Linked DNA regions of Callithrix jacchus. The protein of the gene in region 3 purifies or fractionates together with the protein of the main gene of each other region. This does not show direct contact. Links are inferred from orthologs where the notes say so. Each region holds a gene or a part of one and is shown on either strand. Other genes may lie near its edges.

What was found. Proteins that work in one complex are often made in the same cells at the same time.
Region 1: the proteins of ARMC8 (region 3) and RANBP10 purify together in Homo sapiens (affinity purification with mass spectrometry; 5 studies listed by BioGRID and IntAct, with this or other methods). This does not show direct contact. The link is inferred for Callithrix jacchus from reciprocal best matches to the Homo sapiens genes ARMC8 and RANBP10.
Region 2: the proteins of ARMC8 (region 3) and RMND5B purify together in Homo sapiens (affinity purification with mass spectrometry; 4 studies listed by BioGRID and IntAct, with this or other methods). This does not show direct contact. The link is inferred for Callithrix jacchus from reciprocal best matches to the Homo sapiens genes ARMC8 and RMND5B.
Region 4: the proteins of ARMC8 (region 3) and TCEAL9 purify together in Homo sapiens (affinity purification with mass spectrometry; 3 studies listed by BioGRID and IntAct, with this or other methods). This does not show direct contact. The link is inferred for Callithrix jacchus from reciprocal best matches to the Homo sapiens genes ARMC8 and TCEAL9.

Annotation. Positions count from the first base shown.
Region 1 is NC_133521.1:25,329,147-25,333,250, reverse strand, and holds the start of RANBP10 (ran-binding protein 10), read left to right. Parts: upstream 1-1,295; 5' UTR 1,296-1,319; coding exon 1,320-1,554; intron 1,555-2,310; coding exon 2,311-2,422; intron 2,423-4,104. Other genes in the region: TSNAXIP1 (translin-associated factor X-interacting protein 1), read right to left, coding at 664-779. UniProt on the Homo sapiens protein: May act as an adapter protein to couple membrane receptors to intracellular signaling pathways.
Region 2 is NC_133503.1:70,672,613-70,676,669, forward strand, and holds the start of RMND5B (E3 ubiquitin-protein transferase RMND5B), read right to left. Parts: upstream 2,810-4,057; 5' UTR 2,492-2,809; intron 1-2,491. UniProt on the Homo sapiens protein: Core component of the CTLH E3 ubiquitin-protein ligase complex that selectively accepts ubiquitin from UBE2H and mediates ubiquitination and subsequent proteasomal degradation of the transcription factor HBP1.
Region 3 is NC_133518.1:46,057,222-46,060,734, forward strand, and holds part of ARMC8 (armadillo repeat-containing protein 8), read right to left. Parts: intron 3,346-3,513; coding exon 3,253-3,345; intron 441-3,252; coding exon 291-440; intron 1-290. UniProt on the Homo sapiens protein: Component of the CTLH E3 ubiquitin-protein ligase complex that selectively accepts ubiquitin from UBE2H and mediates ubiquitination and subsequent proteasomal degradation of the transcription factor HBP1.
Region 4 is NC_133524.1:99,429,076-99,432,819, reverse strand, and holds TCEAL9 (transcription elongation factor A protein-like 9), read right to left. Parts: upstream 2,452-3,744; 5' UTR 2,349-2,451; intron 1,866-2,348; 5' UTR 1,799-1,865; intron 1,344-1,798; 5' UTR 1,288-1,343; coding exon 973-1,287; 3' UTR 510-972; downstream 1-509. UniProt on the Homo sapiens protein: May be involved in transcriptional regulation.

The sequences.
Region 1 (4,104 bases), on a different chromosome or scaffold from region 3:
AGTATTTCTTCACTTTTACAATGGTAATATTACTACTTTATACAGTTATCTTGAGGTTTGAATATGGTACATAGGCCGGGTGCGGTGGCTCACTCTTGTAATGCCAGTTTGAGAGGTCGAAGTGGAAGGGTCTCTTGAGTCTAGGAGTTCGAAACCAGCCTGGGCAACATGGTGAAATCCCATCTTTACAAAAAAACGAACAAACGAAGAAACACCTCAAAATTAGCCAAGAGTGGTGGCGCATGCCTGTAGTCCCAGCTACTCGGGAGACTTAAGTAGGAGGATCGCTTGAACCTGGGAGGTCGAGGCTCCAGTGAGTCGTGCCACTGCACTCCAGCCTGGGTGACAGAGCGAGTTCTTGTCTCAAAAATAAAATATTTTAAAAATGTGATTTAAAAAGCATTTGGTATATAGTACATTCAATACCAGCTGTTTGTTACTGGTAATGATAAAGTGCGCCTGCCCTTTTGCTAGCACGTAACGTCTTCATTGGGCTAAATCAGCCCGGATTCTAACCGTTTCTGCGATCATTGACTCTGTAGGGCTGAAGCCCTAGATCAATGGTCAGAGGCCAGCAGGAGGTGCAGCGGTCCCGATCAAATGCCATTTCCCTCTCTAAAAGTACTCAAACCCTCCTCTCTGCCCATCCCCGCCACCGCCTACCTCGACGCGGACGAGAAGCTGTGGCACCACGACTGCTGGGAGGCCATGACCACGCGCAGGCGGGCAACCAGCACCTGCGGCCTGGGAAGCTGTGGTAGTGTACAGCCCGTCGCCATGGCGACCAGGCTCCAGCCGCCCTGCAGCGAGGGCGGAGTCAGGGATGCGCCCCGCCCCCAACCCCAGCGCCCGGGGGCTGAGAGGAGAATAAAGCAGCAAAGGTGGTCTGGGACCCGGCAGCGGGTGCCCTGAGAGTCAATAACTACAACCGATTTGACCCGAGGTACCAGAATTGAGGCTGGGGGATGAACAGAGTCTATGGGGTAGGGAAGTGTGCCTAGAGGCCGGAGACGCTTTGCCGGCGGGAATTGTAGTTTTCGGTGTCCCGACGTCTCAGTGGGACAAGCTTATGGCTGAGGAGGGTTGTACTACATCTCCCAGAACTCTCTACCAGCCCGAGTTGCTCCGCCTTTCAAGAGCTCTGGATTGTGGGATATGGAGTTCACAATGTGGCAAGGCATGGCAGTGTTCAAAGAGAGGTACTGGATTCGGACTCGGTTTCCCTGCAACCACGGGAAGCTCACGGGCCATTGGCTTAGCGGGGCGGATCTGGTCTCGCTTCTCCCCGCCCCCATGACACAATAGCAGCTCCCTCCAAGATGGCGGCAGCGACGGCAGACCCGGGAGCTGGGAACCCACAGGCTGGGGACTCCTCCGGCGGGGGCGCTGGGGGCGGGCTGCCGTCCCCCGGGGAGCAGGAGCTGAGCCGGCGCTTGCAGCACCTGTACCCCGCGGTCAACCAGCAAGAGACGCCGCTACCGCGCTCCTGGAGCCCCAAGGACAAATACAACTACATTGGTCTCTCCCAGGGCAACCTCCGCGTCCACTACAAAGGTATCGGCCCGTCAGGCTGCGGGGAAACAAGGCTGGAGAGCGTCTGTGGGGTGTCTGCTGCCAGGCCCGTTTCCCATTACTTCCCTTTCCCTGCCTAGGTGCTCCAGGTTAGGCCTTGGCCCTTTCAGAATGTCCAGGGTGATGAGGCTGACCGGGCCGAGGGTTAACTGCTTGTTTTCTGTCCTGAGACACCTGCTGTCAAGAGAACCGCAACAGGTGTCCAAACCCAGTGCTGGGCCGGACCTTCCACTCCAGGGCTTCCTTGCTTATCCTAGGCTGTCTCCAACCCCAGCGGGACCCTTCGCCCCTGCTTAGAAGAAAGGGGTGGTCACATCCCTACCATTAGCCTGAGGCTCATGGGCTTACCCACCTGCCAGGCATCCCTGACTGGGTCTGGGGTTCCGTGCTAGAGTTTGGGGCGTGTCTTCCAGGTCGGCCTCCTCCCTTCCCTGGTCTCCCAGGTGGGCTTTCTGGATTCTAAGAGGCAACCAGCAGCACTTGGGTATCTCTCATATTGCCTATACCCTTGTTTTGTTTGTATGGACAGTGTCTTAGGCAGGACTACTATTCTCAGGAGGAGATGAGGCAAAGGTGGAAGGTTTATGTGTTTACTCAGTTGTCTAATGATTCCTTGGACTGTGTAAGTGCTTCCTCTGGCCACAGAGGAGTGGAGTTGCCATGGAGGATCTGCAGAAGAATGAGGCTTCCATTTGCATTTCCTTCTGCTGAAATTTCTTGCTTGCCCTCTCCTGTTAGGTCATGGCAAAAATCACAAAGATGCGGCCTCAGTGCGTGCCACCCACCCCATACCTGCTGCCTGTGGCATTTATTACTTTGAAGTGAAGATTGTCAGCAAAGGAAGAGATGGGTAAGTCTCATGACCACCCTCTTTCCCCTAACATGGAACTGATCCCTGTGGTCAGAGTTCAGGTCCCTTGGCTGGCACTTGTTGCTGATATGAGCTGTTGAGCTGCATGGGTCTGGGCTGCCTCTGTTTCCTGACTGTGGGCATGGTCTAGTCTAAGCAGCAGATCTTGATGGAAAGTGGGTGTGTTGGGGGTAAAGCAGGGGTTTCTTTTCAGTGGTGATATAATTTGATCCTAGAAGATTAGGCAAACAAGTAATAAGTTTACTTTAAAAATTTTGTGTTCAGAATGGAGTTTCCCTCATGAACATATGGTGTTTTTGTGACTTCCTTCCTTTCACATTCTTGCTGTACTCATGAGGTTCTTTTTTATGACATTGAGTCATGTAGAGGCCCTGGTAGCCTTCAAAGGGATAGTAGAGTCTTTGCAGCATTCATGAAAGCTGTTGTGGCCACTAGCTTGTCATCTCAGGGTAAACAGCATACACATGGTCAGAATCAGGTGACCTTGCTGCTCATAAACTTGTTTTTCAGTCCAAGGACTTGAACAGTACTAGTTGGACCAGCTTTAGGAAGGTCCTCATTAAAGTTAGCATTAGGAGCCAGGTGCGGTGGCTCACGCCTGTAATCCCAGCACTTTGGGAAGCTAAGACAGGCAGATCATCTGAGGTCAGGAGTTCAAGACCAGCCTGGCAAACATGATGAAACCCTGTCTTTACTAAAAGTACAAAAAAAATTAGCTGGTGCATGTAATCCCAGCACTTTGGGAGGCCTAGGTGGGCAGATCACGAGGTCAGGAGTTCGAGATTAGCCTGGCCAACATAGTGAAACCTCGTCTCTACTTAAAATAAAAAAATTAGGCCGGGCACGGTGGCTCACGCCTGTAATCCCAGCACTTTGGGAGGCCGAGGCAGGTGGATCACGAGGTCAAGAGATCGAGATCATCCTGGTCAACATGGTGAAACCCCGTCTCTACTAAAAATACAAAAATTAGCTGGGCATGGTGGCACATGCCTGTAATCCCAGCTACTCAGGAGGCTGAGGCAGGAGAATTGCCTGAACCCAGGAGGCAGAGGTTGTGGTGAGCCGAGATTGCGCCATTGTACTCCAGCCTGGGTAACAAGAGCGAAACTCCATCTCAAAAAAAAAAAAAAAAAAAGAATACAGAAATTAGCTGGTTGTGGTGGCAGGCACCTATAATTCCAGCTACTCAGGAGGCTGAGGCAGGAGAATCACTCGAACCTGGGTGGCAGAGGTTGCAGTGAGCTAAGATCATGCCACTGCCCAGCCTGGGCGACAGAGTGCGACTCTGTCCCCCTCTCAAAAAAAGAGCATTAGGGAGACTTCCTATTTTAGGGTGATCCAAGCAGACACAGAAAATCATAGGGGAGATATTTAATTTTTCTTTTTCTTTCTTCTCCCAGTCTCCCTTTTTTTTCCAGTGATTGCAACAAAGCAGGTGTTTAAGTTATGAAATAACATGACTGCAGCTACTTTAGAAAGGCTTTCCTCGGCCGGGTGCGGTGGCTCACGCCTATAATCCTAGCACTTTGGGAGGCCAAGGGGGGTGGATCACCTGAGGTCAGGAGTTTAAGACCAGCCTGGCCATCTTGGTGAAACCCCATCTTAAAAAAAAAGAAAGGCTTTCCTCATCATACTTTAGGTTTGGTGTTGGAAATTTGCCA
Region 2 (4,057 bases), on a different chromosome or scaffold from region 3:
GCAAGCACCTGTAATTCCAGCAACTTGGGAGGCTGAGGCAGGAGGACTGCTTGAACTTGGGAGGCGGAGGTTGCAGTGAGCTGAGATTGCACCACTGCACTCCAGCCTAGGTGACCGAGCAAGACTCCATCTCAAAAAAAAAAAAAAAATCGAAGTAAAAATAAAATAAATTAGCTGAGAAAACAGAACTGTTTGCGAGTGTTCTATCCAAAAAGTCCAGGAGGTTAATTCAGTCTGTCCAGAGCAAGCCACTCTGCCTGAATCAATCATCAGGCACAAGGAATTGTATTTGTCTTTGACAAACTTCATGATTAATACAAGTGCTGATGATTAAAATTTCATGTTCACTTGTCCTAAGCCTTCCTCCCAAAGTCCCACATATACAGAAATTATCCACCAGGACAACCCTCCACAACAAACACCAGATCCTGTTACCTTTTGCCCCACACTGCCATGGGTTGACATGTAAGCCCTTTCCAATTATATATTTGCTTCCTTTGTACAAGTTCCTATTTTTAGAGTGCCCTCTGTACTTCTTTGTATAGAGCGCATAAGCTGTAGTTTAATCATCACCTCCCCTTGAGCCCTCAGTGAAATCTCCCAGCCTCTTTTTCTGCTTCATAACCTGGCAAGAGTGGCCATACCGCACCCATCTGAGTCCTCAACTACTGCAGCACAGTAACAGCCTGTCCACCTTGGCCTCCCACATTGGTCTGTGAACTGCTCAATGGCTGGAGTGTAGTTTGGTTCTTTCTCCCCGTCAGTTCCCAGACCAGGGCCTGGTCCATGATAGGTGCTCAGTAAACATTTGCTGATTAAATGACACATCCGTTTCCTAACTTTGGCCTAGAGAGCCTGAGCTCAAATGTGTAGGGGTGGCAGAAAGAGACATGAGTGAAATATTAAAATCCCCACCAAGGTATGCATGGAGGTTTTTCCTGGAGTATTCAGCATCCTGAAATGAGGGGCTCCTGGGCAGGGAGAAAGGAAGTTTGAGCAAATCATAAAGGTCCCTTTTGTCTGACAAGATTAGACAACCTCCATTGACCCAATTCTTAATGCCTTTTTTTTTTTGAGGCAGAGGTTTTTTTTTTTTTTTTTTTTTTTATGGTTGTTAAAAAAAAAGAGAGAGAGAGAGAGACAGGGTCTCAATCGGTTGCCTAGGCCAGAGTGCTATGGTATAATCAAGGCTCACTGAAGCCTCGACCTCCTGGGCTACAGTGATCCTCTCACCTTAGCCCCCCACCCCGAGAAGCTGAGATTACAGGCGCCACGAACGCTTCCCAGTTCATGACACATTTACTTAGTACATGCAGGGCCTTTTCTCCTTTGTATTTATTTATGTATTCCTTTTTGTCCCAATTCTTCCCCTCTCTCCCCACCACACCCAGCTATTTTTTTGTTGTTGTTTGTTTTTGAGAGGGAGTCTCCTCTCGGTCTCGCCCTGTCACCAAGGCTGGAGTGCAGTGGCACAATCTTGGCTTATTGCAACTTCTACCTCCCAGTTTCAAGCGATGCTCCTGCCTCAGCCTCCCAAGTAGCTGGAATTACAGGCACCTGCTACCATGCCCAGCTAATTTTTGTATTTTTAGTAGAGATGGGGTTTCACCATGTTGGCTAGGGTGGTCTCCAACTCCTGGTCTCAAGTGATCCTCCTGCCTCGGCCTCCCAAACTTCTGGGATTACAGGTGTGAGCCACAGTGCCCAGCCTAATTTTTCTGGAGAGACAGGGTTTCCCCATGTTTAGCCAGGCTGGTCTTGAACTGCTGAGCTCAAGCCATCTGCCAGCCTCGGCCTCCTGTAATTCCTGTGCTGGAATTATAGGCGTGAACCCCTGTGCCCAGCCAATTCTTATGCTTTTACAGCCGCCACCTCTATCCATTCTCTACCCTATATGTCACTCCTCTGCTTAAAACCAAAAGATTTTTCCACTTAGAAAAATCTCCAGGTTCCTTTCTACCACCTACAGGCTCTATGTTATGTGAGCAAACCGCAACTCTCTGACCTCATCTGCTACCACTCTCTTTCTTGCCATACTCCAGTCACACTAGCTTGCTTTCTGTTCCTTGACTACTCCCAGTTAATATCTGCCTCAGGGCCTTCATACTGGTTGTTCCCGCTGCCTGGACCACTCTCTCCCCATATCTTCCTGTGACTGCCTCCTAATTTGGGTCTCAACGCAAATGTCACATCTTCAAAGATGCTGTGCAGTAGACCACAGTATCTAATGCTGACCACCCCTCTGCCCCACCCTCACACCAGTTAACCTGTCCTGTCGCCCTCTTCATTTTTTTACTACACAGCCATACTTGAAGTTTCTAATCTTTCTTTTATCATTAACCAAAACTGGAGGGAGGAAAAAGCCCACCATTGTCCCTGGACTGCAGCGCCTACTGGGAGTTTCACCCGCATTAACATGCAAACGACAGGCAAACTCCCAGTCATCCTTCCAAAGACCCTGCTCCAATGCCCTGCTGAGCCTTGTGCGCACCTGCTCACCTCCGACCCAGCGCCGTAGCACGACGACTGGACTCAGGCCGAGCGACTACCCCGGCAGAGGCGGCTCTTCGAGGGCTGGGCCGGGACCTATGAGTCTGGGACTCCAGCTCCCGGCCCGGGACCGACAACTGCAAAAAGAACAAGCCCAGGGGCAGAGTGTTCGGGGCTTAGTCGGAGATACCAGGGGTTCCGGAGAAGGCTGGGGCCTGGGAGGCCGGCCGAGCTGTCCCGGCTGTGCGCCTCAGCTCTGCCGGCCGCCGCGCCCGCCCTCCGCCCGCACCAGCCGGCCCCCGAGCCCGCCCGCTCTCACCTCGCCCAGTAGCCCTGGCCCCGGCTTCCAGCGCCGCTGTCATCGGAACCGGAAGCTGCGGCGGTTGATCCTCGGCCCGGGCCCGCCCACTGACGTTTCGCGGAGGGGTGGCCGTCCCACGGGCCCGCGCGGCTTTGCGCCCGGCCGCCGAGCCTCCCCGCCGCGCGTGCCGAGTGGAGTTGCCTGCGGGAGCCTGGCGGAGGCCAGGGAAACCACGCCCGGTCGCTTCCTAGTGCCGAGTCCCTCCGGCCTGGAAGCTGCTGGTCCCGACCGCTCCTCGCCGTTAGGCGGGTTCCCCACCTGGCAGAGGCGGCCTCGGCCCCGTACTAGACCCAGTCAGTGCCTGGCTCCCGGGTCCCAATCCCCAAGTGGTTACGTCTCCCGCGCTGCCAGCCCTGAGAGCGGCGCGGGCTGTGAGGGGCGGCGGCTGGACTGTGCCCGCAGTGCTCTCTTGAAATATCAAGTGATGGTCGGGCGCGCTAGCTCACGCCTGTAATCCCAGCACTTTAGGAGGCCGAGGCGGGTGGATCACCTGAGATCATGAGTTCGAGACCAGCCTGACCAACATGGAGAAACCCCATCGCTACAAAAAATACAAACTTAGTCGGGCGTGGTGGCGCATATCTGTAGTCCCAGCTACTCGGGAGGCTGAGGCAGGAGAATCACTTGAACCCGGGAGGCAGAAGTTGCGGTGAGCCGAGATCGCGCCACTGCACTCTAGCCTGGGCAACAAGAGTGATACTCCGTCCCCATAAAAAAAAAAAAAGAAAGAAAGAAAGAAAGAAAAAAGAAAGGAAGGAAGGAAAGAATGGAGAGAGAGAGAGAGAAAAGAAAGAAAGATCAAGTGATGCTTAAAGAAGGCAAACTTTTTGCCGGGCGCGGTGGCTCACGCCTATAATCCCAGCACTTTGGGAGGCCGAGGCGGGTGGATCACGAGGTCAAGAAATCGAGACCATCCTGGTCAACAAGGTGAAACCCCGTCTCTACTAAAAAGTACAAAAATTAGCTGGGCATGGTGGTGCGCGCCTGTAGTCCCAGCTACTCGGGAGGCTGAGGCAGGAGAATTGCTTGAACCCAGAAGGCGGAGGTTGCGGTGAGCCGAGATCGTTGCCATTGCACTCCAGCCTCCAGCCTGGGTAACAACAATGAAACTCCGTCTCAAAAAAAAAAAAAAAAGAAAGCAAACTTTTTTCCATCCGTTCTGCGGAGGAGGGGAGGGGATCCAGCCTGGCCAGGCCACCTTCTGTT
Region 3 (3,513 bases):
AAAAGTAACAAATCAAGGTAGGTACTGGTCATGTTTTCCTCTGTTCCAGGGAGTAGAGGGAGATAGGATAAGCAGTATAGAAGTGGAGAGTAGGGGGTGATATGGAGAAGCAGCTCCCAGAACACCTATGAAAGCAACAGGTCTAGACATCAACTCCTTGTTTCTTTGGAAGAGGGTAGCATTTGAATCACACTTATGGGCAGATGTTAATGAGGGCAGAGAGAGAGAGCAATGTCTTGTAATGCATATGCAGGGCTAGCTACTTTGGAAGCCTGGGTGATTTTACTTACAGGACGAGTAGAGAGGAGATTTCTAAGAAGTCCCAATGTCTTCATCAGCACATTCAAATCTGAATCTGATAATAACCGGAATAGCTGTTCAGTACTCAAGCTTCGTAAAATATCTGCTTTTATTTTTTGTTCAGCCTGAAATGCCATATTCTGAAAGGATTAAAGAAGTTGCAAGAGTCATGTCTACATTTACTTTATTAAATTATATTTTAATAGTAACTGATAACTTTCAAAGTACAAACAGAATCTGCAGAAAATCTTTAAGGATAAATCCCTCTATTTTCCTGATTCTTGTTAATCACCTATATTTCTGTCTGTCAAGAGAAGGGTAACTGTTACTCCTAAATATACTTCTACATGAGGAATATGACCACTTTCAGGCATAGGCATTTGAATGTCTTAAGATTTCTCAAATAAATACAAAACTCATGTATCACTTTCAAGAATATCTTTGGCCGGGCGTGGTGGCTCAAGCCTGTAATCCCAGCACTTTGGGAGGCCGAAGTGGGTGGATCACAAGGTCAAGAGCTCGAGACCATCCTGGTCAACATGGTGAAACCCCGTCTCTACTAAAAATACAAAAAATTAGCTGGGCATGGTGGCACGTGCCTGTAATCCCAGCTACTCAGGAGGCTGAGGCAAGAGAATTGCCTGACCCACGAGGTGGAGGTTGCAGTGAGCTGAGATCGCGCCATTGCACTCCAGCCTGGGTAACAAGAGCAAAACTCTGTCTCAAAAAAAAAAAGAATATCTTTATGGTTACCAGGTTGCCTACTGTATGTACACAAAATGACTATTAATGATTATACTGTGCCATGCCTTTTGAGAATGATTTCACAGTACTTATTTATGGAAGAAAATAAGCAGTGGGTTTGTTAACTTTACTGGCATGAAAACATCTATTGTGTTCACAATACTATGGTAGGTGTTGGCATGGCTGGGCTATATTGCACAGGAAGCTCTCCAGAGGGTAGGAGGTGTATCTGAGCTACCAGTAATCCCGGGTGGCCAGTGGCTATTTTGCTCCTTTTTCTCTAATTTGTATCATGGGTTAGCCCAGCTGAATCCCAAGCTATACATGTCTGAAGAAAACAAAAATCATGGTAAATGCCAAATAACTTATATATCAACTTTTGATACAAAAGTCTCTTGTATAGCCAGGCATAGTGACCCACGGCTATAATCCCAGCTACTCAGGAGGCTGAAGCACAAGAATCACTTGAACCCAGGATGGTTCAAGGTTGCAGTGAGCTCAGATCACGCTACTACACTCCAGACTGGGTAACTGAGCAAAACTCTGTATCAGAAAAAAAAAATATTGTAAACTAGAGACATAATATGTGGTTGTTGCCCTCCAGGAACTTATTAAAGTGCTAAGACATTAGAGATCAAGTTACATAATGATGTGAGGCAGCATGGCAGAGCAAAAAGAATACTATGTATCAAGAGACCAGGCTAGAGATGATTCTAAAGTTTTATATTTTGCAGATAGAGAACACAGTAGCTGGTAATATGGAGACTGATGAGAATTAAATAGTTTGTACAGATTAGAAGAGTGGAATAGGTTCCATTTCCAACATTAAAATTGTGCATGTCGGAGAGGCCATTTAAGTGATAGACTGGCGGAATAGGCAATAGTTACATCTGGATATGTAGATTTTAAAGTAACCTATTAAAGGGAAGTTGAAACCATGATATGAGATGAAGTCCCTGAAACTGATGTAAAGAGATTTGGAAACCAGATACTGAATGGGGGAATGTTCCCAGAGAAGAGGTTGAAAAGGAAGCAAGGTAGAAACAGTTTAAAAAAAAAAAAAAAAAAGTCCTCCGAAGAAGTTTCAAGAAAGAGAAGTGCTAAAAGCTGTGCAAAGTTCAGGAGAAAAATAACTGTGAAACTACAGATTTGTTGCTTTCTTAGAAGATAATTTATTTCTATCCCAAAGTCTGTACAAAAACACAGCAGATACAGCATGGAACAGGGAGAAAAATACAGGCTTGGAAAAGGTTCTGAACCCATTTCCATTATTAGCTGTGAGGCCTTCACCCTCACAATTCACTTACCCTCCCTAAGTCCTAGTTTTCCATTTGTAAGGTGAATATATACCAATATATCTTAAAATAAGAATTAGAGATAAAGATAAAACACCCAGCTTAATGTCTGGTACACAGCAATTAAATTGTACATAGAATAAATATGTTTTAAAAATAAATTTAGGATTATTCTATTTTCAATTTCAAGAAAAGTTTAATAATCTTAAAGAGAAACAATTCTCTAACCTCATAAAATTTTAGAATCTATTATAAATTATTTACTAGAAACTGTTAAAAAAATTAGTAAGTCTCTATGCAGCAATTTTGTTACCTCGGACAAGTTATTTAATCATTCTGCAAAAAATGGCTAAGTATGTGGGGTAATACATATGTAAATTAGCTCAAATTAGCCATTCCACAATCTATACATCTTTCAAAGCATTGTGTTGTACATTATGAACATATATAATTTTTATTTGCCAATAAAAAAATAAAATAATTGTTCTGTGTCTTAGTTTACTTCATCTATAAAGTATGGTAAGAACTTCCTGGCTGACATCATAAAGTTGTTCTGCAGAGCAAAGGAGACATGAAAGTGCTTGTCAAGTAGGTAGCACTACACATAATATAGTATGTTCATGATGAGGAAAATGTATTTTCCCAGAATTAGATAAGTTTCAACATCTATTCACTTTTCTTAATAATAAATAAGAGAACAGAAGCATAACTTGCTTAGAGTTAAACCACGCTTACAGTTGAACCTTAGTTCAGTACTAAGTCTTCTAGGTCTTAGTCATCAGAAAACTAGAACAAAATAGCAAGATTTTTGAAAAATAAAATTCCAGACATTTTAAATAACACATTATTTATAGTTCTAACTAATAGCTCTATTCCTTTTGTAAATTATGATATATATAAAAGTGAAACGTACCATTAAAGCCCAAATTCCATTCACTCGTAAAGCAGGATTTTCACTCTGGGTCAATCCACAAAGTAGCTCTACAGCTCCTGATTCCAAAATTGGCTGCCATTGGACAGGAAAAAGAAATCCCAGCTTTAAAGTCAGGTTCACAAACTAAATGTGCATATGCCTTGGCACTTTGCCTGTGATTTCTTCCCCACTCTTACCCCAGTTCTAGGCAACTTTTGCAAAGCAGGGAGTGATGCAGCCATAAAAATCATATTGAGAAGG
Region 4 (3,744 bases), on a different chromosome or scaffold from region 3:
GCTTACTGGGGGTGCCAAAGAAATATGTTGTAATATACTTGAGAATTCTAGCACATCCATAGTGATAGGGGCCTGAAGGTGCAGGACCCAGCAGAAGGGACAGAAAACCCAGTGTATATGGTAGTATCCAAGGCAGGGGCATGAGAGGCTGGGCAGGCATATCAGGAAAGAAACATAAAGGTGGCACCCACCTCATGGTTGTTTGGGTTTGTTCTTAGTCACAGATAATAACTACTTTCTTCACCCTTCCAAATCGCCAAAATTAATCTCTTACAGAGCTGCGATGGGAACAATACCCTGTCAAACATAGCTCACAGTCATTACCTTATTTGGCCCTCACAAAATTCTTGTGAGATTATTTTAAAGATGAGAAAATAGGTAAAATTTATTATTCTGGCTAAGCGGTCCGGTGTTACTTTGAAGTTCACATTTCTTCTAAAATTCTGTCAACAAATATTAAATGCCCCAATACTTTTAGAAATAAACTAGCAAGTGCTTCTTGTTGCTTCTTTTTGTTATAAACTTTTATTATTCTAGCAATAACAATGCGTGTTAATTTTAGGAATATAGAAAATACAAATAAGCAAAAGGAGAAAAGTCATTCATAATTCCACCGAGAGGCTGTACTTTCTTTCATCCTTCACAAGTTATGTCCATATATGTAATATACAAATGTACTCTTTACCTTTCAAAAATAAGATATTCACATATTACTTAGTAGCCTTTTTCCATTTTATATCCTACCAAGAACCTCTGTTTTTACAAATGAGTAAAGTTCTCTTACCAAAAGACAGAGACTTGTAGATTGGTTCAAAATATGATAAACAATGAGATGCAGATAATAAGAGATACATCTAAAATCATTAACAGCAACAGGTTAGAAGTAGAAATATGGACAAAGGTATATGAGGAAAATGCTAATAAAAAGCAAGCTATATGGTATTGTTAATATCAGATACAAGTTAAGGTAAACTACATTAAGTAAGGGTAAGGATGGTTTCGATTAACCTTCCAACGCATCACTACAAGTTTGTTTCTGACTCTCCTTATCTCATCCATTTCATCCACTTCTCTACACATATCTTCATTGCTTAAATGCCTGTTGTGTATATCTTCTTTAAATTCCTGGAGAGATTGAATCAGCTTCTCTCTAAAAGCTCCTTTTGCTTTGGCCTCCTCCTCTAGCTCCTCCTCCTCCTCCGGCTTTTCCTCAGGTTTTGGCTCTTCCTCATGCTTTGGTTCACTCTCATTTTCTGGTTTTCCTTCAATTTTTTGACAGGATTTCATCTTGTATCTTCCTTTTCCTTTTTTTTTTTCTTATTCCTCTTTGAATACAATGACTTCTAGAAAGCAAAAAGAAGACAGTAAGTTAAAGATTAAACACTTGGTCAGTGGACACGTGCCATGGACAGAGGTCTTAGCATTTTTTTTTATTCAAAGCTATTATAAAATATCTTCCACCTAAGAAGTCCAGTCAGCAATCACAGCTTCCCTATTCCTACTCCTCTTACCACCACTTTCCACCTCTGCACTTCTCTCTTTTCCTTCCCTCTAACCTTTTGCACCGCCTTCTTTCTGCCTCCCAGCCCTCCCCAATCCTTTTTCCCCCTTAGGGCCTAATACACGGACCAGCCCAGAAAAGAGAAAGGGGGCTGGCAGGTAGAGGAAGAGGGGAAAGGAGAAAGGGGAGAGAAAAAAAGAGGGAAATGAGGTGGGGTGGAAGGGAGCCGGCAGGAACAGTGGAGCTTACAACCTTTGTCTCTACCCCAGGAGACTTTATAATGTTCCTTTCACCTACCTGGCACTGACCGGGTCAGTTTCTTCCTTCTGCTTTTTTACCTTTGGGTCTTGCTAGAAACACAGACCTGCAGACAAACGGGAAACGGGAGGGGACGGTGGAGGTGGGGAGAGCCCTTGGTGGGCTGACCGGCACCCGAAACTGACACACATAGCTTTCCTCCTTTAGGGTTTCGGTTATGGAAAGTTTCCCACCTTTTGTTTCTCCCAGTTCGCCCTCTCTCCACAGTGCATGTTAGTTCGTTTTAACCATTAGACAAAGAGTGAGAAAGCAGATTATTTCCAAACTATCCTTAAGACTGAGGCGGGGTTCGGGAGGAGGGTGCGGATCCGAAAAGCAGTCTTAGATAGCAGAGGATGATTATTTTTATAAACTATCACAAGTCTCCTTGTTCTTCTCCTAGGATTCCTAGTCCCCTTCCCAAGGGTCATCATTTCCTGTAGACCTGGAGGTGGAGAGTGGAGAGACGGACCTGACTGGCACTCCCACAGTCTCTGCCCTAAACCGCCCACGCTAGAAATCTCCAGTCAACAAGTACATTCACACTAACCTGCAAAATTCCAGCAAGTTTGACTCCTTCCACTGGCCTCAGGTACCACCGTCTGCACTGCTGAAGGAGGCTGGAACAAGGACCAGACTAGCAGGACTTCTGCACACGTCGACTCCTGGTCACATGAGATCTACGTCACCAGTGAGCTCGGGTCCCTAATTTCCACTCCCACCAAAAGCGCGGCAGAAGTGGGCCCACCCTCTGCTCCCTCCCCGCCCCCTACTTATACATTTGGCCCTGTCAGTCTTTTCTATTGTTTCCTATCCCAAAGGGGAAAATGTTATTTGCTTGACTCTGATTACTAGGGAGGAGCTACCTCTTTTCCTAGAGCTACTGAACTTTTCTACTTTTTCTCTGAGAATTGTCTCTTCCAGTCTTCCACTCCCAGGATAACTCCCTCCCCTAGCCTCCATGTCATCTGCAATCTGGTCCTTAGCTGTTGAGGGGCAGAGTGTGCTTGGCAGCAGTTGTGAAACAAAAAATACCTTGGAACAAGAGTGAGATTTTTGAATGCATTTTTTACTGTTTATTCTCCGTACTTCCATATTCTTTTTTTTTTTTAAGGTAACTTTACTCTCTCTCTCTTTTTTTTTTTTTTTTTGAGACAGGATCTCACGCTGTTGCCCAGGCCGGAGTGCCACGATACAGTGGCACGGTCACAGCTCACTGCAGCCTCAAACTCTTGGACACAAGAGTCTCACCTCAGACTCCCAAGTAGTTGGGACTACAGGTGTGTGCCACCATGCCCAGCTAGTCTTTTAATATTTTTGTAGAGATAGGATCTCTCTATGTTGCCCAGGCTGGTCTCGGACTCCTGGGCTTAAGTGATCCTTCCGCTTCTACCTCTCAAAGTGCTGGGATTACAGGCCTGAGCCACTGTGCTGGGCAACCTTTATCTTCTTATAGTCAGAAAAAACAGAGATAAAATTACTTTAATTACATGAGTTAATACATGTACAGTGCTCAGAATAGTGCCCAGCATATAGCAACTGCTTTTAAAGTGAAAGCAGTTCTAATACAACAACTGTTGTTGTATCAGAAGTTTTTTTGAGGAAAATGATTAAATTTTTTCTTAAAAAAGACTAATGTTTTGTCCTACAGTCCTCATGTTGGTGTTACCAGGAAGCTGTGCTGCCTGAAGAATCATCAATTAATCAATTGTCAGGTACACATTGTGAGCCTGAGCTTCCTCATCTGAAAGAAGGGAATAATAGCATATACTCACAGAATTGAGATCTATTGAGAATAAAAATGAGTTAATTTTTTATTTATACAATTAGAAAAGACAAATATTGGTTATATTTGGAGTTGGTGAGGATATGGAAAAACAAATATTCACATATTCTGTGAGAATATTAAATAGTACAACATTTTTAGAAGTCTTCTTTGCAATATC